Drosophila melanogaster: one gene and its partners. The protein of the gene in region 4 interacts with the protein of the main gene of each other region in a pairwise test. Each region holds a gene or a part of one and is shown on either strand. Other genes may lie near its edges.

Region 1 (4,966 bases), on a different chromosome or scaffold from region 4:
ACTATATTCGGATAATTCAGCTACTCTAGCCTATTATGGAGGTGTGAACGAAAAGCTAATGGCTGATCTGAACGTTAAGGCCAATGTCAAGTTGCTAATTAATATTTAGCAGAGATTCCGCTCGCAGCTAATGGCCAAGTCAAATAGAACCCAGAACCAAGGAAACACCGATTAGCAAAAAGAAGTGAAGCCGGAGAAACCGCAAGTCAACAAATTGCCCAAACATAAGGCGTCGCAAGTTCAACAATGGCACCACAATAAGGTAATCTACTTGGCTACGAAAAAGGGAACCTGGCTTTTGTTATCACATTGCGTGTTGGACTAAAATCACTTTTAATAGTCCAAACAGATTGATATACCACCCCGCCCGCCGACATGTGAATCACTGAATCTTTGGCTGATGCTTCGCGTTGTTTTAGTTTCTATGAAAGACGAGCGGTCTGCCGGCCGAGCAACTCACTCTCAACTGAACAGGCATATAAATAGACGGGTCGGCGGGGTCTGGTGATCAGTGCAAGCAGGTCTGTCAACGCGCAGTGCGAATCCATCGATCGATTACTACATACATCTAGCCACATACAACATGAAGTTCTTGCTCCTGGTGCGTCACTAAAAATCGACACGGAATACCAAGGAACTTTACTGACCCTTCCTTTACAGAGCGTCTTCCTTTGCCTTGCCGTGTGCTTCATGGCCACCAGTGCTGCTCCTCGCGAGGAGGCCATTCCCGATGGCTTCGAAGGTCCTGGCAGTGAGTCCGTCAACCCATCCGACGACCAATCCTTCCTGCTCAAGCTGAAGCTGCTCAAGAAGCTGCTGTTCCTGGGCTAGACACCACACCCTCACATTTATGGATTTATAGTTTAACTTAACATGTGTTTAGGTTTTTAAGAAGAAAAACAAGAGTGAAATTAAAGAAAGTATTTGGTAACGAAACCTTTACTTATTCATTTTTTATTGCAAGGTTAAAACAAAATGGTGCCCAAAAAAAAAACAAGTTCGCTTCTTAAGTCTTTTGTTTGAAGAGGTCCAACCTTCAATTCCAAATAATTTTCTTTTTTTACGATCACATTAAAATCATTCCTAATACTACTAATACACCTGAATGTTAAAATTTATGGTAAGTTGAAAGGCTGGAACCATGTGCTTCAACTTGATGGCAATCATGTCCGATTTTTCGTGACCAGCTCTCAATATGTCAATATGTGATGAGTTATCGTTACTTTTTACATAATTTTGATACTTGAAAATATTTAATATATTATATTTAGTTAAGCTATAATATTACTGGCATATCAAGTTAACTAATCATGCCAATTAATGAAAGTAGGTATGATCATTAATCTCACAGTGGGCTCCTTGTATTAGCACATCATTGAACCCACTTGATTCATTTACGACTGAGATTGGCCAATATTTATACGCATGTAAGGAAGATTCCGTTCGCTTTTCACACTCTCTACCCAGAAACGATCCGAAACGGGTTTCTTATTCAGATCTAGGCAAACAAAAACCCGACCCGCTGCCAGTCATTAGCTCCTTTTTGGACACACATGGAGATCTCATCCCCGACGCTTCGATGATATAAGAAAAGCCGACGTGTATGAAAATAACATTTATTTTAGTTACGATTACGTATACTTTACTCGTATGTATGTGCTTTTGTGTGTGTTTGTGTGTTTGTGCTTATTGGGTATTGTCTAAACAAAACGGTTTGAAAATCGAATGTAGTGGGGGAGGCAAGGTTCCCAATTGGCTGGACTAGAATCTGAACGAAGCTTATTGCGAATTTCTCCTAACCCAGGAGCTTCTTCAACTTGAGCAGCTTCTTCAGCTTGAAGATGGCCTGCGGATCCTGGGGACGCTGGACATCGTCGAAGGCAGGCTGGTAGATATTATCGCCGATCAGGGACTCATCCACGGGCACGGCAGAAATGAGGGCGATGGCCATAAGGCACACGAAAATGGTCTGAAAAATGTGAATTACAATAGATTTTTAGTACAAATTGAAAATTTAATATACTTCAACAAACAACTTCATATGTTGCACTTAATTGGAAATCATTTAATCCAATTATTAATCCAAATGTTATATCCAAATACTCACCAGAGCTAGGTACTTCATGATTGCTGCTGCTGGGGAGATGATTACGCTGATTAATCCAAATATCGACTGCACATGGCTCCATCTGGCATCAGGCCTTTTTATAGCCAAACTTTTGGGTGACCATCGATGATAATGTCATGTGTAAACTGCAGTTTGCAATGAAGAAGAGGACAAATGAACGATACATAAACAAAAGAGTCTCGCATAAATAAGACGGTAAGCGAAAAAGAAGTATAAACAGAAAAACCTGGCCAAAAGCAGACGATTCAAGGGGCGTGGCATGTTGAGGCAGGTGCTTTGTTTTTTTTTTTTTTCGGGCCAATTTTTTCGGCAGCGGGACCGAGCAGCAAAACCAGGCTGCCCTGTTTACTTGGTGGTGGCATCTTTTGTTTGCTTCGCTAAGCCACTGAAGAAGTTGATCGTTGATTAAATAATAATCAGACTGGGTAAATGAAGACATCGACAAATGAAGGTCACCTCAAATGCGGTCAGCGGAGTAATATTTAAACAAAACCCGGAAGAAGGCGGAAATTGTAATGCCAGGCAGTTTAATTGCTAATTCAGTGTATCTAGAGCCCCTCGATCACCCAATTCAAATGGTAAGTTAATCTGAAGTTCAAGATCCAATGATCGAATGATCAGTGGTCAAGCCAATTAAAATATAAATTATCACTTGAGCAGAGGATCCATAAATATTTGACACTTTGAACAGCTGTCAGGCCTGTAGAGTGGAATACTAAATCAATAAAAGTTAAGCTAAACGACGGAACCATTTTGGGCTGGGCGATGGTATAAAAACCAACATATGATTGGTACGGAGGCCAAGTGTTTTTTTTGCCCAGTCATCGTGCAAGTATTGATGATGCTGACGACGATCTTGCAGCTGAAAACCGGAAACATTCGCCCTGCTCTAAATATGTAAATAACGAACTTTCGAGAATGCCGCCACAATGTCAACGCAGCTCAAAAAAACATTCCACAGTTTGTACTCCACAAAAACAAATACGTGTCGAATGGATATCACAAACAAAGTTTACCATGACAACAAATTAAAAGATTGGATTGAATGGATATCTTTGAGTTAGTCTTTGTCGTCGGCTTGTCTCGCGCGGTTTAAATTCATGTTTGATATATTTCCCATGCCCCTGGGTTTTTTAATTAACATTTATGGGCGTGGCTGTAACATGTGCGATATGTCTCAATCCCGGCGAATTTTTAGTGGGAGATAATAAATTTTATTACGCACCCGAAACTCGGTGATAGATGGTACTATTTTGCAGAAAATGTGTAAAAATTGTTTTTTTGGGTGAAAAAATTTAGCAAAAAAGGGAGAGGCTCCATGTATAATATATTTGAAAAAATTTAAGTTACAAAAATTACATTATTCGTAATCGTTTGATACTTCCGAACTATCCTCTTTCGACTGAGTAACCTCTGTACTTGCTTCTTCGGTTTTCTCTACTGGCTTCTCAGTCGCTTTATTTTCCTCGCTATTTTTAAACAGCGATGGTTCCGTGTATCCAGGTGGTGTCTTAATGGAAAACTTGATTCTGCATGAAATCAGCTTCATAACTTCCTCGTAGACTTGTATCAGCTCAAAAAGTACCATGTATCTGCCATCGGGAATGCGGAAAGGAACCAGTTTGGAATCAATAACGCCATTCTCAACAAAATAGAAGCCTGGAACCAAAGGACATGAGACAACAAAAGTCGAGGGCAAAAGGCTTTCGCCCGGAATTTCCTCCACTGTAATATTGCGAAGTGAATCGAGGAGCTTGCAGAGATCCTTGTTCGTCATGCGAATCAGATCGAAGTAGTTCGAACCACCAACTTGATCTGACAGCTTCCTTACGAAAATGTGGATGAGAAGCTTGCCAGGAAAGGGCACTTGAACTGTGAGATTCACATTGATTTTCTCATAGTCGACAATGTCATACTCCGCGAACATATCATCTGGTACAAAAGATTTGACATAAAAGTGCTCAAGCCGCAGTCTGATCTGCTTAAGAAGTAGTACTTTATGTATTAAAATTATGGTTTATTTAAATAACTCACACTGTGCACTTGAAGAGCTCCTAAACATGAAAATAAAGCTAAACTTTGCAGAGGCCACATTGTTTAATGCTCGGATGATTGGATTCATTCAAAATAACTGACCGAAAATTGCCGACATTTGGTAACTGGGAAATTAGCTTGTTTAGTCAGGCCACGTTAACTGGACTAATGACATTGTTTCAGCCCGATTCTTATCTATCAAAGCCCCAGCTCTATGAGCAAACGGTGCGAATGCGTAATGTGGTAGGTACACCCACATGTTAACACGGCGTATGCGCAATGAACAAACTTACAGCGTTAAATATTTTCAAATCAACTTTGTGATGAGTGTTTACCAACTAGTTGCTGATATACGAGTCTAACTTGGCGAACTTAACGTCGCATCTATCAAGACGATAACCATAAAACCTGATCCCAGTTGCGAATTCGGTGGCCAACTGATGAACTTGAACCAAAAAGCATGAACGGGTAACTACTGGGAAAAACAGCAAAAGTTTACCATGTAAACGGGCATAAATTGTGCCGCCGGAAAGCAAGGCGAACAAAAGTCTCGGATAAATCATACCAAACAAAATGTATGTATGCCAGTGGACCATAAATTTCGAGCATTTTTATTGCAATTTGCTTGTTTGTACCAAAAACAAGTGCAAACAGTGCCAACAACAACACAACAACAACAACAACAACAACGTAAAGCCGAAAGGCTGCCTTAAGCCGCAAACTACAGTGAAAGTGACGTAATGCGATGCTACCAACAACAATAGCTGGCTAAAAAAAAAAAATATGTATAAAAACCATTAAACA
Region 2 (9,615 bases), about 12 Mb from region 4:
TTTTACTTTACTTTAGTCTTAATTTTTTGCGAATTGTGCACAAAGTCGCTTTAGGGACGCGAAAAAATGAACGTCAATGCAGTGGAGATGGAACAATATCGATATTTTTCGGTACTATCGATTCGAGTATATTATTCTCACTGTTTCAACAGCGTTATAACAGCCTATTCACAGCCTAATAAAACAAAATGTTTTTCTTTAAAAAGAGATAAATTCATTCATAAAAAAAATTTTTTAAACGTGGTTGAAAAATCCGTTTTTATTACGAATAAAAAAAGAAAGGACTTTATTTAATAACATAAACGAATGCAAAACCCAAACCAAGCGAAATCATTCCCTTTAATTCCATAAAACGCGATTAACCTTTTGATTTCGTGTTTATTTGGTAATTGTCTTTATGGGTAAATGTCTCACAACAACTATTTTAATTCTAGGGTAATGTAATGTGATGTTCTCCATTCAAGCCTCCCTTCTGTCTAAAGCCACTTAATTTTTCCTGCACAAAGTTTAGTCCTTTCCGATATGGATGTGCGAACCTACAACTATAGTCGGCCTATATAACCATCTAGTCGGGCATTGATCGTAGTTATCATATTATAAAGTTATATACGGGTATTTGTAGTTCATGTCTTTTAAACTCAGTTCTTTTTGCGCAACATTTGGTGCTCAGTTGTTGGTTGTTTAGGTTGTTTGGTTTCTTCGTTTGAATATCATCATCTTACACATCCTTTTGCTGTTGCTCAACGGAAGGATAACAAGCGATTGGGTGCGGGTGGGCATGGGGATTGATTAAGATACAAAGATACGGATGAGAACGTACGGATAGTAGTAATAGTAACTGGTAGAATCAGCAATATCGGTGAGGCATTCGAACTCTGAAACTCAGGAACTCAACTAGTATTTGATCGCTACTAAAACACTATTAACATATGGGGCAACCAACGAATCCGAATCATTTCTAGGCCTCCTCGCACTCCTCCTCCTCGCGCTGAACAAACAACCGATGGTTGCGGGCCTCCAGGATGGACCACACAATCAGCGGAGTGGTCCCGAGCACCATGCAGGATCCCATGCAGTAGAAGCATATCTCGTAGTCTCCGGAAAGGTCTCGCATCAGTCCTGCCAGCGGAGGCACCGATATGGCCCCGATGCTCTGGAACATCCTCACCAGCCCGTAGCTCGAGCTGATCCTGTCCGTGCCAAAGACGTCCGCAAGGAGGACCGGCATAAGTACATACCAGCTACCCAGGCAAAGTCCGTAGACAGCGGCCGATAGACCCACCAAAACCAGAGTCTTGGCGAAGGGAATTGTGAGCACGGCACATCCGGCGCCCAAAATGCTGTCGATATAGGGAAATGTGATTAGTTTGGATCGAAAAATAAACCTTATCTGGTACTCACCACAAGGTGTAGGTCTTCTTGCGATCGAATAGCTGCAGGTCGCACAGCCAGCCAAGTCCAAGGCGCCCAATTAAATCTAGGACCGCGCTGATGGCCACCAGGTATCCCGCCTCACTTTTATTGTATCCTAAAGATGAACCAAGTTTATAATATTTAAAATCGTACGCCGAAAGAATATACTTTGAACATTTTAAATAGTATACCTATTGAAATAACGTGGGCGGGCAGATAGTACAACATGTAGGGACAGCCGACGGACATCAAGGTGACGGATAGGCACATCAGGATAAAGCTCGGGTCCTGCAGCAGACTGATGTCCAGGTACATCTCGATGCGCTCGCAGCAAGTGCGTGGTCCCCGCTCTTCGTCGTCATCGTCATCCTCATCGGCGGCAAGGTGGCCGTCGCCATCGATAATGGACTCCACCAGCTGGGAGTCTAGAATGCCGAGCTCCGCCTGCTCCACCGGCTGCTGCTTGAGATCACTGAGGTTGCTAACCGGAGTGGGTATCTCCATGCTCTTGCTGAGTCCGCGACTGACCACACTCGGCGGCGAAAGAGGCTTCTCCAAGTGGGCTTGTATCTTGGATATCACCTCGTCGTTGGCAAAGACATTGCGCCGACGACGACTTCCGCGATTGGAGTCCGTGCCGGAGTGCTTGCGATAGACCCAAGTGGAGTCCGTGCTCAGATCTTCGACGGAGTGCAGCAATCCGGAACTGCGCACCTTCTTCATGGGCTTGATGAAAGTGGTCTCGCCAATAATATCCTTTACCTCGTCGTCACTCTCCTGCGCTGACTTGTCCTGGGCTAAGTAACCAAATGGGATTTATTATTTGGAGTTTTCCTCGATGAAATAATACTCCCACCTGGCTGCTTGCTGGCATAGTAGTTCAGGTGGTTCTTGGACTCCTCCAGGAACAGATGCTCGATAAACTTGTCGCTCAGCTCGTGGCCTGCACCCACATCGCAGGTGTCTAGGTAGGTGGATGTAGTCAGAATGCCCGTGGTGCTCGGATTGATGTCTTCGTTGAGGGGCTTTGCCGTCTCCTCCTGTCCCTGGCCCGAGTCCTGATCCGTGTAAGCACTGATTGGGCGGTAAAGTGTGGCCGAAACGCACACGTGAAGCATGCAACCGCCCAGGATCAGAATAGTGCCGTGGAAGCCACAGTTCTCCGCGAGGTGCTTTATCAGAACGGGTAGGATGAAGCTGCCGGCGGCAGTGCCCGAAACGCAGATTCCATTGGCCAATGCACGGTGCTTGTCAAAGTATTGGGACACTATCACTATGCCCGGAGTAGTCGAGAGGCCACCTCCAATACCTGGGCGTGAAGAAATAGTTAAATATAAACATCATGATAACTAAATAAATATAATTACTAATGTGATGAGGATAAATTTAAATTGATTATACATTATGCACCTGTGAGTACGCCAAATGTTAGGAGGAGGTGCAGCAGACTGGTGGCAAAGTAGCTCAGTATCATGCCCATGGCGCAGAAAATGCCGCCGACGAAGACCACCGTTCGGCAGGAGAATCGCTGGCAAAGAGCACTGGACAGCGGGGCCAGGACCAGACATAGAGCCGACAGGATCGCTGGAATCCAGGAGGCCACGGTGGCCGTAGAGCTGGGAAATGTCTCCATAATCTCCACATACAGCACGCCGTACGACTTGACCAGTCCGGCCACCCAGAATTGCACGGAGAAGGCCCCAAAGACGATGAACCAACCGTAACCGCCGTCCGGTGGCTCCACATTCGGACCACCGCTCTCCGTTGTGGTCGTTGAGGAGTCCCGATCCTTGACCACTTGCTTGCTACGCCTGGCGACGGTCACGCGATCCCGCTCGCGCTCCTTGGCCCGGCGGACGCACCTGCTGCGGGCCGTATTCAAACCAGATCCGGAACCTGAACCCGACTTCCGACTGCTGCGAAGCTCATGCGATTTGGCAATCAACGGTCGCGCCGTGATGCTGGACACGGTCAGCAGGTTCTCATTGTCGTCCTCCTCCAGCTCGGAGATCTGATGCTCCAGCAGGCTGGCGTGCAGGGTCCTCGGGCAGCATTGCGTGTCCAGGCTGAGGGTGGCGGGTCGTCGCATGGGCGAGGCGTTGGGTGAACAGCATCCGGAGCGGAAGGCGGCGGACTCCATGTGTTTGCCATCCATCTCGGTGGGCACAACGATGTCGGGCAGTGGAGCCGGCGGCGCTGATACCACCGAGAACAGGGAGCCGCATTCGAGGCCGACTCCGCCACCGGACCCGTCCACGCCCGCCCCTCCGCCGGAGCCCTCAGCCGTCTTCGTGTGGAGAAGGCACCCTCCCGACTCGTACTGGACTCCACCAGTTGGGTCCGGTTCACTCGCGCAGTAAACCGATCCCCGGGAACCCTGCGAAAAACATAAATAGTATTTTTGTATCGTTAAACATTAAATATGCTGGTTATCTAGTGCAATATTTAATATAAATCTATGAAAGTGTGTTTAAGATATGGAGTATGGAGTATGGAGGGATGTTTTTTTTAAATAACAATTAAATAACATAACAAGTTAACGAAGTAAGCAACCCAAGAAAATGGGCCAATTTAATTGCGAAAGTTCTTATCAAGTAGTAGACATCAAAAGTTAATGTCCCAAATTGGCGTGCATCCAAAAATTCCGCCTCCGCCGTAGCATTCAAAAATGGGTTAAACCCCGTCAGAAATCCGGGGCTGTTGACAAATCGACTGGAGGCGGGTCAAGGAAGCAACAACTTAGCCCAATTTGCATTGCTAAACGAAATGCGAGGAGCGCACGCGATCTGCCGCCTTATAGACGACATCGCTGCAACGACCTAATGTATGCAATACGTTTTGTTTAATTGAGTTAACATCCAGTTCCTTCCCGATTCCCGCTCCGCTGGGCTATGTAATTACCCGCGGACCGAGCGGATTTTCTTGTTATATGTACTTTGTTAAATCGATGCCAGGCTGCAGGTGCATGCTGTGCCTTGCGGGCTGGCATGACGTCTGGGAATTTTCCATTTGTCTGCGGGATCCGCTGCCACTTCCTCCCACGAAACCTCCATTTTCCGACGACTCAGGGTCAAGAGCGAGGTGGGTCTGGTCTGGCATGCGGTTGCCTTTCAGCACTTTTTTAGTTTCTGTCTTTGTTGCCGGAAATTGATGGGGGGTTCGATTGGCCCCAAAGGAGCAGTGGTGGGTGTTTGCTCCAATCCAAGGACGATGCAATGCTCGAACCGAAGGCTAATGCCAGGAAATATACCCGTGCTGATAAGACGCCAATCTTTGCCAAGCCCTCGTAGAAAGGACACAATTGGAAAGCAGTCAAAAACGAAATTCGGTAAGTTGATGTAAGGTATTATTGGGTTTACAGCCATGCCAACAGCTCAACTATACATACTAACTAATATATACATTTAAAACTTTATGTTATATGTGCACAGTTAATATTTTTACCTCATATTGAACTATTCCTAATTAGATTTCAACACCTGCCCCCTTAATATTTATGTGCTGTCGCAATCTTATTGTTATAACCAACAGTTCGTAATAACTCATTTCCTAATAGCTTCTTATTTCGCACTTAGTTGTCCCGCTCCCACCTATTTCTTGGTACTTCCAATGACGTACGTATACGAAATATGATACATTGCTGGCATCAAATATCAAGTATGCGACGTGTGTGCCCATTAGAAAGAAGGATTGGTGCCCAACGCTGGTTAAACCTATGCACAATATATTAGGTGAAGCGCTCTATCCTTAGTCAACCTTTTTATTTGCTTTTACTTAAGTATCCTATCTAAGCATGTCAGTTCTTAATGAGCAAATAATCAATAATTATTATAACGAATAAATATTGCATGGTAAATGTAACAAATCATAACATCACTTATGCTTAATAAAGCCAAGTAAATTTATATAATTGAATTCTAACTTTGAAAGTAAATTTAATAAATTTGTCTTTTGTTTACGTGGCATGTCATTTGTCGAACTTCGTGCCGCTTATGAACTGTCAGCCATATTGATGGTAGAAATATGCCAAATAGATGGCATGCAATATTCTTGAACGAGTGCAAAATGCAGTCACACATCTGACACGACTAATGAGCGTTGGCCAACTCTTGGCATTTGGCAACTCCCCCTCAAGAGCATGAGTCACAGCATCCTAGAGCCAGTGACCTTGTCGAATGTCAAAGGCCCACGTCGCCGTGGCATGCGATGGTATACGATATCCTGGACGCCAAGAACCCCCAAGACCACCCTCTGCTGTCAGCTGGAATCCGGCTTAAGCTGTCAGGAAGCTTTCGCTGGGGCAGCTCTGCAATCGCTGGTTGTTTTCAATTTCCCAACATTTCAAGGCCTTTGCCAGCGCTTAATGAAACGGAAGAACCTTCCCCCGGGCCAAGTTAGTTGGCGCTCGTGTGTGGGCCTGAACGATAAGCGGTCAAGGTGAAAGGGGTGGCCTCAAGTCGGCTGGTCGAGGGTGGTATCTAGTCGGGGAGGGAATCTAGTGGGGAGGACTTGACGCACAACTTGTTGAGCCACCCGTAATTGCTAGCCCTCCGTAATAATAGATATTAGGTTGCACAGGCCTAGGCCAATTAGTTCACCCAATCAGCAGGACATTGATGCTTAAGTGTAGGGATGCTGTACTCCCATATGCGAGTGTAAACACCTACTTAAATTTGGCTCAAAATTCATGTTTTAAGTGTTTACAAAATCAACGATTGTAAGTGTAAGTATAATTATAAGCATAATAAAAAGTTACTTTTCATTTGTGTCAAAACTAGTAGAAATGAACACTTCTATTCGATTTAATAGGTGTCATTAAAGGTCAACACCATGCCACGACTGAACTTTGGCTTGTGGTTTTCGGTCTTTCCATCAGCAGTCGGGGCATGTATTGTTTACTTTCTTGTCCCCGTTCTTCTAAAGCGACTAAGATGGATGCAACTTGTGACGTTGACCCATTCTCCTGTCGCTTGCAATGTTTACGTACTCGTAAAACACTCTCTGGTCCAGTGCGCATGCTCACCAGAGGAACCCAAACTCCAGCTACCTCAATACGATTGCCATTGGCCCACTCCCCAGAAAAGGCAGCGAGGAGGAATCAAGGGGGATGGTTCCTGACCTTCCCAAAGTAAGGATAATGGGATGCTGGGTAGTACTACTCACCTGTAAATGCCAGTCACGCTGTAGGGACGACATTGCCGTCCTTTACTGAACGTGAAACGCCTTTGATGTTTCTCTTGTTGCTCGCGCTGTTGTTGTTGTTGCTTGGGGCGTTGTTGTTGTGCACCCAAATGCATTGGGTTGCCTCTGCTTTGGGTCCTTAAAGTCCTGAAGAGCTGACGTTCGCGGGCCTTCACCGGTTGGCCCAAAATAAATACTCTCTTGCTACTGCTGCTTCTGCCGGAACGGCTCCTTTGGCACTGAATCCTTTGCGGGTTCGTCTTGATGGTTTGTTCTCCGAATCGATTGCGATTTTCGTTCGCTTTTTCTTGAGGGCTTCCTTGAGGAACTTGTATGGGTTTTCCTAGGGGCAATATCCTTGCTGCTCTGGCGTCATGATGCGTTGATGTGACACACAGTATTCCCTGTTACTATTGTTTATGCAGCAGCTGTTTCCGCTTCCGCTTCCTTGTCGCCCCCTTCCGTATCCGTTTTCGGCACAAGCGCACTCTCTCACTCACTCGCTGGCGAATATGCAGTTTTTGGAACAAATCGATATGGGGCGAGATTCCAGCTGAAGTCCTTTGTTCTTAGCTTACTCAATCACAATCGAACGAATTGGATCCTTCCAGTGAGTTAAATTGGTTAAAAATACGCCTGAAGCTATTGAACACTTTCTCTGATTGGGAAAACCCTTTGCAAAAGCCTTTTTATTTTTCGTGAGTACTCTTCGTTTGTTGCCCTTTTTGGCGGATGCGACTGTTCTGCTGCTGCTCAAGCTCACGACTAAACTGATGATACTCATGTCCTCTGGAGGTCCATTGAAAACCCAACTCAGTTAAGGTGAACTTGGTGGTGGTGAGTTTCGGCATGGAAAAAGGAAAAACAAGAGTAAGAGGTCCTCTCTTCCTTTCCATTGGTTTTCATCCGTTTTGTTTTGCTAGGTTCTTTTGGCCGCCTGTTGCCAGAACCACCTACTTTTATTTCTGAAAACAGCTGATGAATGAATTACGAATTGCCTTACGAATTAAAGTCACACAAATTTAACAAATGTAACTTTACAATTTCTCATGCTAGATTTTCATATACCTATAATTTTTCAATTTTAATCAAAGTAGGTGTATTCGTTGCTCTTGATTACTGCACGGCAAATTTATAATATAAATCCAAAACTAAACGAGAACACTTTGCATTGCTCTATAGAGAAGTGCGTAGTTCTTCCAGGCTTTTGGTCATGTTCAACGCCACTCCAAGAAATATAAAGCTGATGGCCACAGATGAGAAAACGGCAGCCGGTAGGTTCTTGAGTAGCCACTGCAGGATCATCGTGTAGACGGCAATGGCCATGAGCAGCATGCACATGTATGGATAGGCCAGCCATTTAATGAACTGCAAAATCACAGGATTCTTAAGAATATTTCCTCAATTAATTTTGCTTCAGGTTAACCTTCCAAACTGCAATAATCAACAGGAGCGAGGATAATGCATAGAGAGCCGATCCGGTGGTCCACACAATCTTTACCGCTTCAGAGACACCTGATAAACTGGTCATGAAAAGATAGCCGGCAGCCACGCCCGATATACAGGATACGCAGGCCATAATGGAGACGATCAGCCTGCAAGTCGGCAAAAGTCTCTTATATGAGAATTCCTGTTCGCTCATGTGTTTGATGTATTTTAAGTCACTTAACACAATGGATTTTGAATTTTTTTATATTGAAAGCAAATCATTTTCATAAAAAAATTTTAATTGTTGTTTTTGAGTTGTTCAACAGTTTTCTTTGTTTGACGTTGAATAGTTGAAAATGTTCAAAACTTTCGCGCCCAAATAAGCTTGCTTATCGGTATTATTGATAAAGCGGCCATCGATAAGTTCTGCAATCGATTGCGATTAGCTTTTGGTATTTCGATTTTTTACGCAGGTTAATTTGCGCACAAGATTCCCAGACGTGATTAATGCTGATTTCTGGTCTGGACTACACAGCATTGCTGGTATAAGGAGTCGGGACCAGAGGAGTAAGATTTCGGGAAGGAATCCCGTCCGGTAGGGACTACTAGCATTCGCAAGTGACGTCCAGCAACCGGAGGACCCCCAACTGTAGAATCCGCATCACCATCCTAATCCCAACAAACCAATGACATCTTGAGACCTCACCAGCCATGGATCCCTTCGTGTTCTTCATAGTACTGGCATCGCTTTATGGCGTTCTTTACTTTTTCGACCGCTTCTTCAAGGTGTAGTATATCCAGCCAAAGTACGTCCAGATACTTAATGTAATCCCTTAGAGTTGCATGCACTACCCGTACGATGCCTTCCTCAAGAACACCGGGCTGAGTATAAATTTCATGAGCCTCCACTGGCACACGAGTGCCTTTAACAGGACCCTCCTACGCTGGGGATCTGCCGGTAACAGCTGCACCCGGAGAGTAATGATCACCAGCTTTAATGTAGGAGTCCTGGTCACCTTTTCTCTGCTCCCGATCGGTCTGATCCTGCTCATTGCCACTATCTTCAGCAGTGGTGAACAAGACAGCTCTTCGTCTGTATCCTCGCCCGTTGGAGTCCCTGTGCAGCTGGAAATTCTACTGCCCGGCGTCAACTTGCCGTTGGAGGAGATCGGATACTACATCACAACCCTTGTGCTCTGCTTGGTGGTGCACGAGATGGGACACGCCCTGGCCGCTGTGATGGAGGATGTGCCTGTCACCGGGTTTGGAATAAAGGTTAGAATGATATAGCGTACTTTACAACCTAATACGCTTACTAATTAGGTAAATATTAATATTTCAGTTCATCTTCTGCCTGCCGTTAGCATACACGGAGCTCTCCCACGACCACTTAAACAGTCTACGTTGGTTCCGCAAGCTACGTGTTCTGTGCGCTGGAATCTGGCATAATTTTGTGTTCGCTGGCGTGTGCTATCTCTTAATCTCAACGGTGGGAATCACTATGTCACCTTTGTACGCTTACAACCAACACGTAGTGGTCACTGAACTAACAAGGAAATCCCCGCTGAGGGGAGAGCGCGGCTTGCAAGTGGA
Region 3 (5,228 bases), 1.3 Mb from region 4:
CCACACATGCAGAGAATCGTTAGAAAACCCTATAAAGAACTGGTCCGAGTGGGGCAGGAAGGCAGCGAACTTCAGCGTGTAGCGCGACTGATCGAAATCCAGCTGATGGGAAACCTCCAGAGTATGGAGATTCACCAGAAGTGCATCGCTGCCGAAACGCATCAGAGCGATAGAGGAGCGTGCATTCTGCAGGCTATTGCTCCAACTCAATTCCTCAAGCGCTGCGCTTCCCACTTCTCCGTCGACCCCAAGAATTGAGTTGTCCACGTCTATGGTGAAAATGTGGCCCGTTTTATTGCCTACAATGTAGTCGCTACCGTGCAGAGGGGATGGCCGAATGAGCTTGGCCTTGGGCATCCGGAATCCCAGCCGCCAGTAGCGTTTGCGTACAAAGTCAAAGACGAAAACATTGCCACTGGGAAATAAAAAAGACTGTTTAAAAGAGTATTACGTTATTGTTTCCCCTGTCAACCTTACCGCTTGTCTATTACCACCAGCTTGTTGCTAAGTTCGTTGAAGCAGCAGGCGGCAATCTGGATGCGCAGTGCCTGACCTGCTTCCTTGATCGTGTGGTGAACGGTTAGGACGTTCCTGGAATTCGCAAACTTCGTTGGCAACAACTCCGCAATGTGCCTAGAGCGCATACTCACCCAGATTCGCTTTGCTTCAGCTTAAAAGGGTACTTGCGCATAGGAGCATTGCTCAAAAGCACACTGCGCGCTGCCTCAGGCTGCGTGAGCGACACATCAGAATCTCCCGTGTCTGAATCCTGATCTGTGAATAGCTCCAACTCCTCCTCCGTGAAGTCCTCCTCCACGTCAGTGTTGACATCTCTATCGTCCTGCATCGAGTTCTCGATGCCATGAAGGGCCACCGAAGGAATACCCGTGATCTGTTCCTTCTTGATTTCAGATTTTATAATCCTGTCCATGTTATGGGCTCAAATGAGGTGTAACTCCATTTGTCAAAGGACGTGTACTTTCGCCAATGAAAAAAGGAACGCCACACCGCTATTCATTTATCCAGCAAGGATATTTACAAATTTGTATATTTAACAACTGAATGCTTGTTCCTAGTTCCAGTGCAGCCAAATGAACACCATCCAGGCTATTTTTTTTCGACTATAAATATTTCCAGTTCAATTAAGTGAGTGAAAACTGAGAGCTAATCCCTCCTTGATACGCCAGTGGAGAGAATTACTGCTTATGGAATAGTGGTTTAGATATCGATATCGAACCAGCAAAAAGAACCGGAACCAGACAATGTCTACTACGTCAGTTTATTTTGTTTGCGTTTATCTGGATACATTTGATTATATGAGATTTGTTGATGACTGCGGATAAGCGAACAGCATGCGTGCTTACGGATAAATGGCCGTAACCCTAGGACCCAGTGCATCGGTGATATTCCTGCGCCGGTTACTAGCCTAGTGAGCTTGTGAACTACAAATCCCCTCTAGAACATGGATCCGTATGGCTCGTCATCGCGCATGGCGTACCAGAAGATGGTGCCGTAGTTAATAATGTTACTTATTATCGTCAGGATACTCGCCGTCCAGGTGATCTGTTAAGAATGACATCGCGTGTTTAACACTCTTAAAATCCCAATAGCTCCGTGTGTCCACTTACCACCAATGCGTGGGCTAGGACGATGGGCAGGGCGAAGGCACTCAGCACCATTCCCGCGGTAAGGAAGTGAGCAAACTCCGATTTCGGATTGGTCTCATTTCCAGGAGTTGTCCTCCTGGCAATGAAGACTGGAAGAACTGACAGCACGTAGAACAGCAAAACGAAGAAGGGATAGAAAATCTTTGTCGTGGGCACGGCGCAGGCCAGGATCAGGAAGGTAACACCAATGCATGTAAGAAAGGCGCAGATGAAGAGGCTGCACAAAGAGGGGAATCATTATCAGACGGTTGGCTGCAGGAGTGGGTGTAGTTGTAGACATACGCTGTGTGATGGTTTCAAAAGAGGCGTGTAGCGGGTTCCAGTTGGTGTTGATGTAGGCGAAGAATGTAAGCCATTAGATTTGCTAGAGACTGTTGTGCATAATTACCCTTTAAGGTGGCCATTGTATTTGTTTATAATTTTTCCTTTGTCGCTCCTAAAAATGACTCAGATGTGTAGTTCCAGATGAACCAGTTCATCAGTATGACCGAAACATGACCATTCAAAATTATTTAAACGTAATATACCGATTCTAGTATATACCGTTAAAAATAATTTATTAAATTCGATTTTAAATTCTTCCAGGTCTAATTAAATGTATTTTCAATTTATATGCTAATTTTCTCCGAACCTCCATGAAATGCTTTATTAAAGGACTTACCTTTGGTTTTTAAGTTTTTAAAAGCTTTTTTATTAAATGTCTTTTAAAAGTCCGTTTATCAACGACTAATCAATGAAAAGAAAGCAAGGAAAAGATGAGTATTCCCCGATAATCTGTTACGAAATCATTTCGCGTAAGAATCCGAGATCCACTTGGGGGTATTTCTCCCAACCGATTCGGACATCAGGACCAATGCTACACATACACTATTCGGCCTACCATAACTCCCGCAGTCCTTTGCCGGTGAGAAAAGCTCTTTGGCTGCCAATTCATTGATAAAAATTAAGCACGCCCTATCCCAAGCGAGGAAGCTGGAGGAAAGGGAGGGTTCTCCCAAAGCGGGCGTGGAGTTGGCTGACGGGGCTTCGGAATTCGTGAGTGGCAGCCACCTGCTAGCTGGCCGAGAGTCTCCTTGGCCTCGTCTCGGCTCTTTATGAATGCCCGTGTTTACTCAAAGAATAAAGGAACGGACGTGCCGAGCTTTTCAGCCCCACTGTGCGCATGCGCTGCTTTTGACTACTGTGCCCCTCTGGTTGTTGTTGTTGCTGCGCGGCCTGCCCTCAAAAGCTGCCCGCAACATTTAACAGCGCGGGGGCGAACCTAACATTTGCGTCACAGCTTCTGCTTCTTCTCGGGCTTTTTGCCGCCGCCAGGCTCATTCAGTTTCTTCAGTATAACGGTATACGTCGACAGCGGAGCAACGCAGCCCAGGAGTCGAGTCCCATCCGCATATATCCCCACAGCCATATGTCCATCTGAGCTTCTTCGCCAGCAATCTGTGAGAAAAGTGCACCATTTGACATTTTAACCACCCGGTAGAGTGCAGCATAACCTTTGCTAGGACACCTAATAACCCCCAAAAATCCTCGAGAAGTGCAGTTGGCGCAGGTTACTAGCCAGAAATATTGCACGCCCACGCGAAAGTGCAAAAGTTCGGGGAGCAACCACCAGCAGCTGCCAATTGGATATATTCGCAAGTGTGTGCGAGTGTGGGTGTTGAAAATCAATAACCCTCGTCGACGTCGTCGTTCTAGCCAAAGCCCCATTAACCGGCCATATGGCAGTGGTGGCAGAGGTCGTGCAGTGCTAGATAGTTCCCATTCGAAATTGATTTCTGAGGTCTCGAGAAATCCGCAAGTGGGAGTGCATTTGGTGGCAAGTGCAAGATGGCGGCTCGCCTGGAAATCACCGTTAGCTTGGCGCTCGCTGCAACGCTACTGTGCAGCATATTGGGTCATTGCGAAATGTCCGTTTACCCAGGTAAGCCTAAAAATAGCGCACTACACACCCATTCACCTATAAGCCCGTACACCCATGTACCCACACACGCAGCCTGAGTGTTCGGGCTTGAATGGCGCAGGAGGAGCGAAAGGAAAGGAAAGGAAAGCTGCCACCTCGATTTGTGTATCCCCTGCACTAGATACATGCATGGCGAGTCCTGCGAAGTGCTCCGAATCAAACCAAAACACCCACGCTCATTGCTTCGGCAAAACTAAAAAGTCAAGCCAACTGCAGCGTCGTAACTACATAAATACACATAAGTGGTAATAACGAAATTCTCCACTCGAAATTTACATTCATATGTATGCATTTGGTATAAATATATGTAATATGGATTAGCTACGATTTTCGTAGCATACATTTAAGCGCCTTAAAGCTTTTCCGTTCATCCCAACAGCTATAACAAATACTTCCTTGATACAAGCGCAACAATGGGCTGAACACGACGAAAACAACAAAGTGCGATGGAATTGCCACGCACGTCACAGACTTCGGTTCCCAGTCCTCCGACTGTATGTTGGTCTCCCTCACTCTGCGGGAATTGCTCGGGTTGACCTGGGCGCGTGTGTAATTGGTCTATTTTTAGCCTCTGGCAATAAAACGAACTTTTGTTTGTCTATTTCGAATCCTTTAAGGCTGTAGGAGGCAGACCACCGCATTTCGGCCATTCCATCTATTTCTATTTCTATTTCGACTTCGATTTCACTTTCTATTTTCCGATCCCTAACACGCAGCCCAGGCTCATTACCATTACCATAATCATCTGCCCGTGCCCACTAATCCGATGACATTGATACGATTCGAATCCGAATTCTTGCAGGATTGCGCCGCCGACCCATTCAGCCGCCTGTGATGGATCCGCAGAGTGAGCAAGAGTATGCTTTTCTGGCCCAGATGATGGAGCAGTATGCCCGCCGTCGGCTGCAGCAGCAGTTCGACCAACAGCTGCACGAAATCAACCTGAAGATGGATCGTCAGCGGCAGCTCTTGGAGCAGGAGCGGTACCGCCAGCGGCAGCAGGAGCTCCAGGTACAGCGCGAGGCGGAGGAGGACTACGAGTCCAACGGAAACAACCTGAACCAGCAGTACGACCAGTACGACAACGCGGAGGCAGAGGCCAGCTACGGCAGTCCGATGGAGGCAGTCTCTGATCTCCAAAGTCCTCCATTGTACCTGCCTCGCCTGCCCAACCTACCACCCTTGCCCAGCCTTCCGAATCGGCCCAGCCTGGGCAACTCCCCGAACAGGAACAGTGTGCTCCGCGAACGGATTCCCTTTGCTGTAGGTCCCAGCGACGCTCGCTTCTTTGACAACCCGAACGACCCTTCGGGGGAGCTGGATTCCCGGGCGCTGGAGGACTACGAGGAGTATGCTCCCATTGAGCCCACAACCGAAGTAGCCACCACCGCCAGTAAGACCAAGATCGATACGCCAGTACCGGCTCCCGTGCCCGTTGAGCCGCCCAAACTGCTTGACGCCGCCAACACCAACTTCCACCGCATCAATCCCCAGTCCGCCGCCGCCGCAGCCGTGGCGGGAGTGAATATTCCCCAGAGCAAAGAACAACCACCCCATGAACTTAACGCACTGATCAACAAGCTGCAAAAGCAAAGCAAAGC
Region 4 (5,034 bases):
GGCAGTATGCAAAGCCTTCCCCCTTTTGGCACCGCGCAATATGGTTAATATGGCGCGACATTTCGTCCGCCGCCGTTCGCTCAGCTCGTTCGCTTAGTCAGCCCGCTGCGCTCGATGCTCGCGGGGCTATCCGCAGGGGCAGGGGGAGGGGTAGTGGGGAGTATGGGGGGCACTAAATGTTTAGTAACCAACTGAAATAGTAGCACTCGTGTTAGTATCGGTTCATGAAAAACGAACGGCAGCGAAATAGAATTGAACGAAAAATAAATGAGAGCCACTTCGGTTTACACAGAGTTTCGCATGTAGCTACACGACTTGCACTTGGATTTGAATATGAATGCGCCACAGACGGGGTCAGCATTATAGGGCCATCATATAGTAACCACATTGGGTTTGAACAATGGAGTAGAAGCACAAATACTAAGTTGTTGAATCTGAAATACGCTAGTAACAATCATATTTCAAGTATGTTCCTATACCATTTCGCCTAGTTGGCTGACCCCAGCTGTATCTGCATGATCAGGGGCGTGGCCAGAGGGGTGGCGGTGGAAAGTGGTAGCAAACGTCGTCAGCGTAAACTGATTACCACCGGACAATCTATGGAGCTGAACTAGCGGCACGTACACAGCGTTTTTGGGGCCAAAACCCGAGATGGGGGCTTACGGGGCTCCGGTGCTACGATGGGAACCTTCGTTTAGGGAGTTGGGTTCGTCGACGGCCCGAAAAGTTCCAGCTAAAAGCGACTGCACATAGGAAGTCGGAGTTAAGACTTCAATTACAATGGTGCACCACCCATGGGTCGATTGTGAAATTATAGACGAACCACCTTTGGGTTCCACGAATCCGAAATGAGGCGAAACGAAAAGAGTGCGCCAAAAGCCAAAAGCGATTACCAATTAATGGAACGTGCTGCCAGCTAAGATTCAACCACAATTACTACTATTTCCATATGATAAGTTCAACAAACAATGACAATTCTGCATGCATTGACTTCAAGTAAGTTAGCTAACTTACATATGTATGTATGAATCACCTATTTTTGCTCTAATTATCTCAGCCTTTGTATCTCATCGTAACGAACTCATCACCATAACGATTAATCTTATTCACTCAATCGACTCGGAAACTCGCCGTTTTATCGTTATCACCAGCCGGCTAAATTGTTGCGAAACATAGTTGAAATTCCGAGACTTTGGGCCCAACACCCACCGCAAACTGCACGTAGTGAAATTTAGCTGCCAACTAAACCAAACATGCTGCGATCTAGAAAATGTATCTTTCAGATGCACACGCTTTCCACACACACCCACACAACCCCAAGTGCGCACACATAACTCCAGCTTGGCATTCCAACTGACTTTGCACACCGAATGGAACACGTGCTGCATTTGGACCGGCTCGAAGGACCACGACCGGGGAATTGGGGCTAGCAGCGGAGGGCGGAGGGAGTGGATTGGGGCTGGGCCGCCTGGTGGTTCGGTGGCTCGATGGCTTGCAGCCACAGACAATAACAAAGGCCAAGTTGAGTGCAGTTGGCAGCGGTGAGTCATGCTCGCTCGCTCGCTCGCCAGTAGCACACCCACCCACTCACTCGCACTCGCAGCTGCAGTGGGCTCTCTTCGGGAAGAGTGGCATGTGGCATAGTGCTCCCGATAAGAGATTCCTGTTGCTGCTGCTACTATACAACATTGCACAGATCGAGTGAATTGTAAAGGCGAAAACGGGAAATGATGATTACACACTCAGTTTTCCGCCTCTTCCAAAGTCAGAATGGAAATTGGGAAAGTCCTAGAAATTGGAATTTCTTGAAGGGAAGAATTCCAATCTTCAGAGTTAGCCAAGGCCCACTGTGCCTTTCGTTTTGGCACGGCGTCTAAGTGTTCATATGCACATGGCCGCGAGTGTGCTAGTCCCGTTTTTTTTCGTTTTTTTTCGTTTGTTTGTGTTGCCTCGGGCGGCAACTTTAGTGGCAACGGCTAACTTTTAGCAAAAGTTTTAGCAACGAGTACCTGCAACTAACTAAAACCACAGGCACACAGACCCAGAGCTCGAGCGCCGCCCGCAGAAGTTTCCACCACGCATCGAACTATGAAAATCGGAAAAGTTTGCAGACAGAAATTTCCAGCCATGCATCCGCACAATGGCGAAGTGGACGACGCAGTGCGTTCCCCCCGCAACTCACCGCACCGTTCGCCATCGTCATTAAAGCTGGACTCCTCCGCAGGCTTAAACCAATGCAAAAATCCACAAAATCGACACAATTCCGGCAAAAGTAACGAAAATCACACGCGGCGCGCCAAACAAACTTCCAAGAACCAAAGGAACTGTAAACGAACAGCTGTCAAAGTGCGCGCGCTCCAAGAGACGGGGCTGTTATGCGGCGAACAGCTGATGGCGCCAGGGCTGCACAGCAGCGGGCTTTCAAAAGGCACAACTACAGTGAGCACACGAGCAGGTGAACGTTAATATTTAATTACTTGAGCTATTTGAAAACCTCCGAGTTCCTAATCCGCTCCTCCTCCCTCTCCTTGGCATCCGAGTCCGACTCGGAGGACGAGACCTGCCGCTTCCGGCCGGAATGCTCCGATGGCTGGGCGCTGGTCAGCATCCTGGCGGCGATGCGCCGAAAGAACCAGAAGCGACTGAGATAGGCCTCCGCGCCCCGGCTGATGAAGTACAGCTGCAGTGGTCGCTTGCTCCGCTGTGGATGCATCTTCTGATTCGCCCGACTGCGTGAGTGGGAGAACATGAGATCCAGAGCGAAGGTGCAGTGCATCAGATAAATGGCGCCGGCGTACAGAGCCACAATGGCGTTGTCCCGACAGCACGCATAGAAGCTGGGCCAGCGCTCAGTGCGGAACTCCTCCAAAGTGGCCACATACATGTTGGCGTACACGGTGACCATGTGCAGGCCACCCAAGATCCCACCGAACAGCGCCTCGTGCTTCATCGTCGGCCGCTCGGCGTAGAAAGCTCCAATCAGTGATATGAAGCATATGATCACCGAGCCGCCGTACGTTCCGCACAGCAGGAAGATGTGCGGCACACCCTCCTCCATGAAGCAGGTCCAATGGACGAGGCAGCAGCCCAGGCTCAGCAGCAGCTCCATCATCTTGAACAGGAACCAAACGGGCTTCTTGGAGCGCACCTGCATGTTTGCCCGATTAAATGGTTATACTACAATTGTGACAAGATATATAGTATATGTGGATACATTTGGTTCCGCACAACGGACTTTTAGCTACAGGCCACCTACGACTAAAGCAAACTTACGACTAGGATTTAAAGGATAAATAATATTAATAAGTATTGATAAGTATAAGGTATTAATCTAATGTACACTTTTGATGTTAAACAACTCAGCTGAACCGAACTAGGATTACTCGCTCCTCCCACAATTTCTTGTGCAAGCAATGTCCTCTACTTCCGCCAGTATTGGGTGAACCGATGAATCTGCTCCACCAGAGCCGGCATCACCGCCGTAATGGACACGTCCAGGAGGCTCTGCAAGTGCTGCACTGCCTCCTCGTCTGTGAGGCCCAGCTGCAGGTTCTCCTCCACCTTCTTGACCGCCTTGTCGGGCTCGAGAGCGATATCCGGCACAGTGGCGTCCACCATCAGAGAGAACAGGTTGAGCATCACGTTGGCATGCCGCCGCAAGTGCAGGTACGCCGTGTAGCACTGCTTGCGGAACTCGTGGTGATGCTCGGAGCTGATGCCGCCCATGGCCTCCACCATTTCCTTGCTCAGCTTCATTGGCGGCGGCATGGGCTTGGGATCGCGTCCCAGAATGTAGCCGAAATCGATGTGGAAGAGCTTGCCGTTGGTGGTCAGCAAGAGGTTGTCCAAGTGCCGGTCGCCCACACCTGCGAGGAAATTCCAAGGATTAGCGGAATCCACCTGGTTACACTCCTTTAGTCTCACCCAGCAAATAGGTGATCACACAGTAGCCCGCGCAGCTCTTGATGTAGGTGTCCATGACCTCCGCCGAAATGCCGTAGGGTCCATTGTCGCACGGATGATGCTTGCGGAAGAAGTTGTGGATGTTGCCCTCCCGCGCCAGCACCTCCGCCACGGTGCAGGAGTCGACGTACTGGAGGAAGCCGTGCTTGGAGCTGGTGGCCAGCACTTTGTAGGGAGTCAGCTTCAGGTCGAGGTTCTCGCGCCTCAGCAGCTTGTCCATCAAAGTTATCATCTGCAGGATGAGCTGATCCTGGCGCAGATCATCACCGTGCTTGAAAATGGCCGCGTACTCGTGATGGGCAATCGAAGTGACAAAGGTGAGCCTGCGAATAGGATTAAGGATTAGGATTGAAGTATTCAGTGAGTGAGTAGAGTTTGTTGGTTGGTCATGGCGTACTTGGCTGGCATCAGGGCGCTCTTGAAGAGCGATGTGCGCATGGGCACGATCTTGGTGATGTAGATCTCCGGATCCAGGGGAAACGGAATGGGCTCGAAGTTGGTGAAGTTCACCTTGAACATGTCCTGTTCGGCCAACAGTTTCTGGAACTTCTCAGTCTTCTTATTGCGATTTCCCGGCTCCTTGGCCACCAGTTTCACCAGTTTGACCAGCTCGTCGATGAAGCGCCGCTGCTTCCGGAGGTTGTAGAAGATGCCTCTCAGGTTGAAGTTGCCTGTGCGGATGAGCGGATTAGAGAATTAGGGAATTAGAGAATGAGCCATGATTTCGTTAAATTACACCCACCGTTCTCTAGCACCTTCAGAAACATCTTGAGCACCATGGCGTACATGTCGTGGGCCCTCTCGTCCTGCTTCCTCACCGACTCCACTTCCTCCACCTCGATGGACAAGTACCAGTAGAAGTAGTTGGCCAGCGTGGCGTTCGTGCAAGCGCGCTGGATCAGGAATGTGCAGAGATTGGCTGGAACACTGCCGAAGCTGATGCCCTCGGCCAGCATTAGGGCATTGGAGTTTGAGTCGCAGGGCAACGAGCTGCTGCCCGGAGTGGCGGGAGCAGAGGGGTTTGGCAGCGCAACCGATCCCTGACCACCACTGCCACTGCCACCCGCTGAA

What was found.
Region 1: the proteins of CG30184 (region 4) and CG15212 interact in a two-hybrid assay, tested with the Drosophila melanogaster proteins (one large-scale study listed by BioGRID).
Region 2: the proteins of CG30184 (region 4) and Sln interact in a two-hybrid assay, tested with the Drosophila melanogaster proteins (one large-scale study listed by BioGRID).
Region 3: the proteins of CG30184 (region 4) and CG30423 interact in a two-hybrid assay, tested with the Drosophila melanogaster proteins (one large-scale study listed by BioGRID).

The regions. Positions count from the first base shown.
Region 1 is NT_037436.4:5,128,763-5,133,728, reverse strand, and holds CG15212 (uncharacterized protein), read right to left. Parts: upstream 2,185-4,966; 5' UTR 2,126-2,184; coding exon 2,108-2,125; intron 1,970-2,107; coding exon 1,796-1,969; 3' UTR 1,602-1,795; downstream 1-1,601. Other genes in the region: CG15213 (uncharacterized protein), read left to right, coding at 584-601, 661-831; CG4597 (uncharacterized protein), read right to left, coding at 3,489-4,106, 4,163-4,222.
Region 2 is NT_033778.4:11,843,072-11,852,686, reverse strand, and holds Sln (silnoon), read right to left. Parts: upstream 7,364-9,615; 5' UTR 6,610-7,363; coding exon 6,577-6,609; intron 3,791-6,576; coding exon 2,824-3,790; intron 2,723-2,823; coding exon 2,270-2,722; intron 2,211-2,269; coding exon 1,605-2,210; intron 1,529-1,604; coding exon 1,402-1,528; intron 1,341-1,401; coding exon 959-1,340; 3' UTR 363-958; downstream 1-362. Other genes in the region: CG43190 (uncharacterized protein), read right to left, coding at 7,771-7,962, 8,021-8,173; S2P (site-2 protease), read left to right, coding at 8,734-8,808, 8,860-9,297, 9,365-9,615.
Region 3 is NT_033778.4:24,873,710-24,878,937, forward strand, and holds CG30423 (uncharacterized protein), read right to left. Parts: upstream 2,157-5,228; 5' UTR 2,072-2,156; coding exon 2,056-2,071; intron 1,951-2,055; coding exon 1,950-1,950; intron 1,885-1,949; coding exon 1,629-1,884; intron 1,564-1,628; coding exon 1,456-1,563; 3' UTR 1,267-1,455; downstream 1-1,266. Other genes in the region: CG16896 (uncharacterized protein), read right to left, coding at 1-415, 478-591, 651-931; CG44247 (uncharacterized protein), read left to right, coding at 3,495-3,588, 4,430-5,228.
Region 4 is NT_033778.4:23,562,199-23,567,232, reverse strand, and holds CG30184 (uncharacterized protein), read right to left. Parts: upstream 3,261-5,034; 5' UTR 3,155-3,260; coding exon 2,483-3,154; 3' UTR 2,453-2,482; downstream 1-2,452. Other genes in the region: Pi3K59F (phosphatidylinositol 3-kinase 59F), read right to left, coding at 3,421-3,866, 3,925-4,286, 4,361-4,634, 4,706-5,034.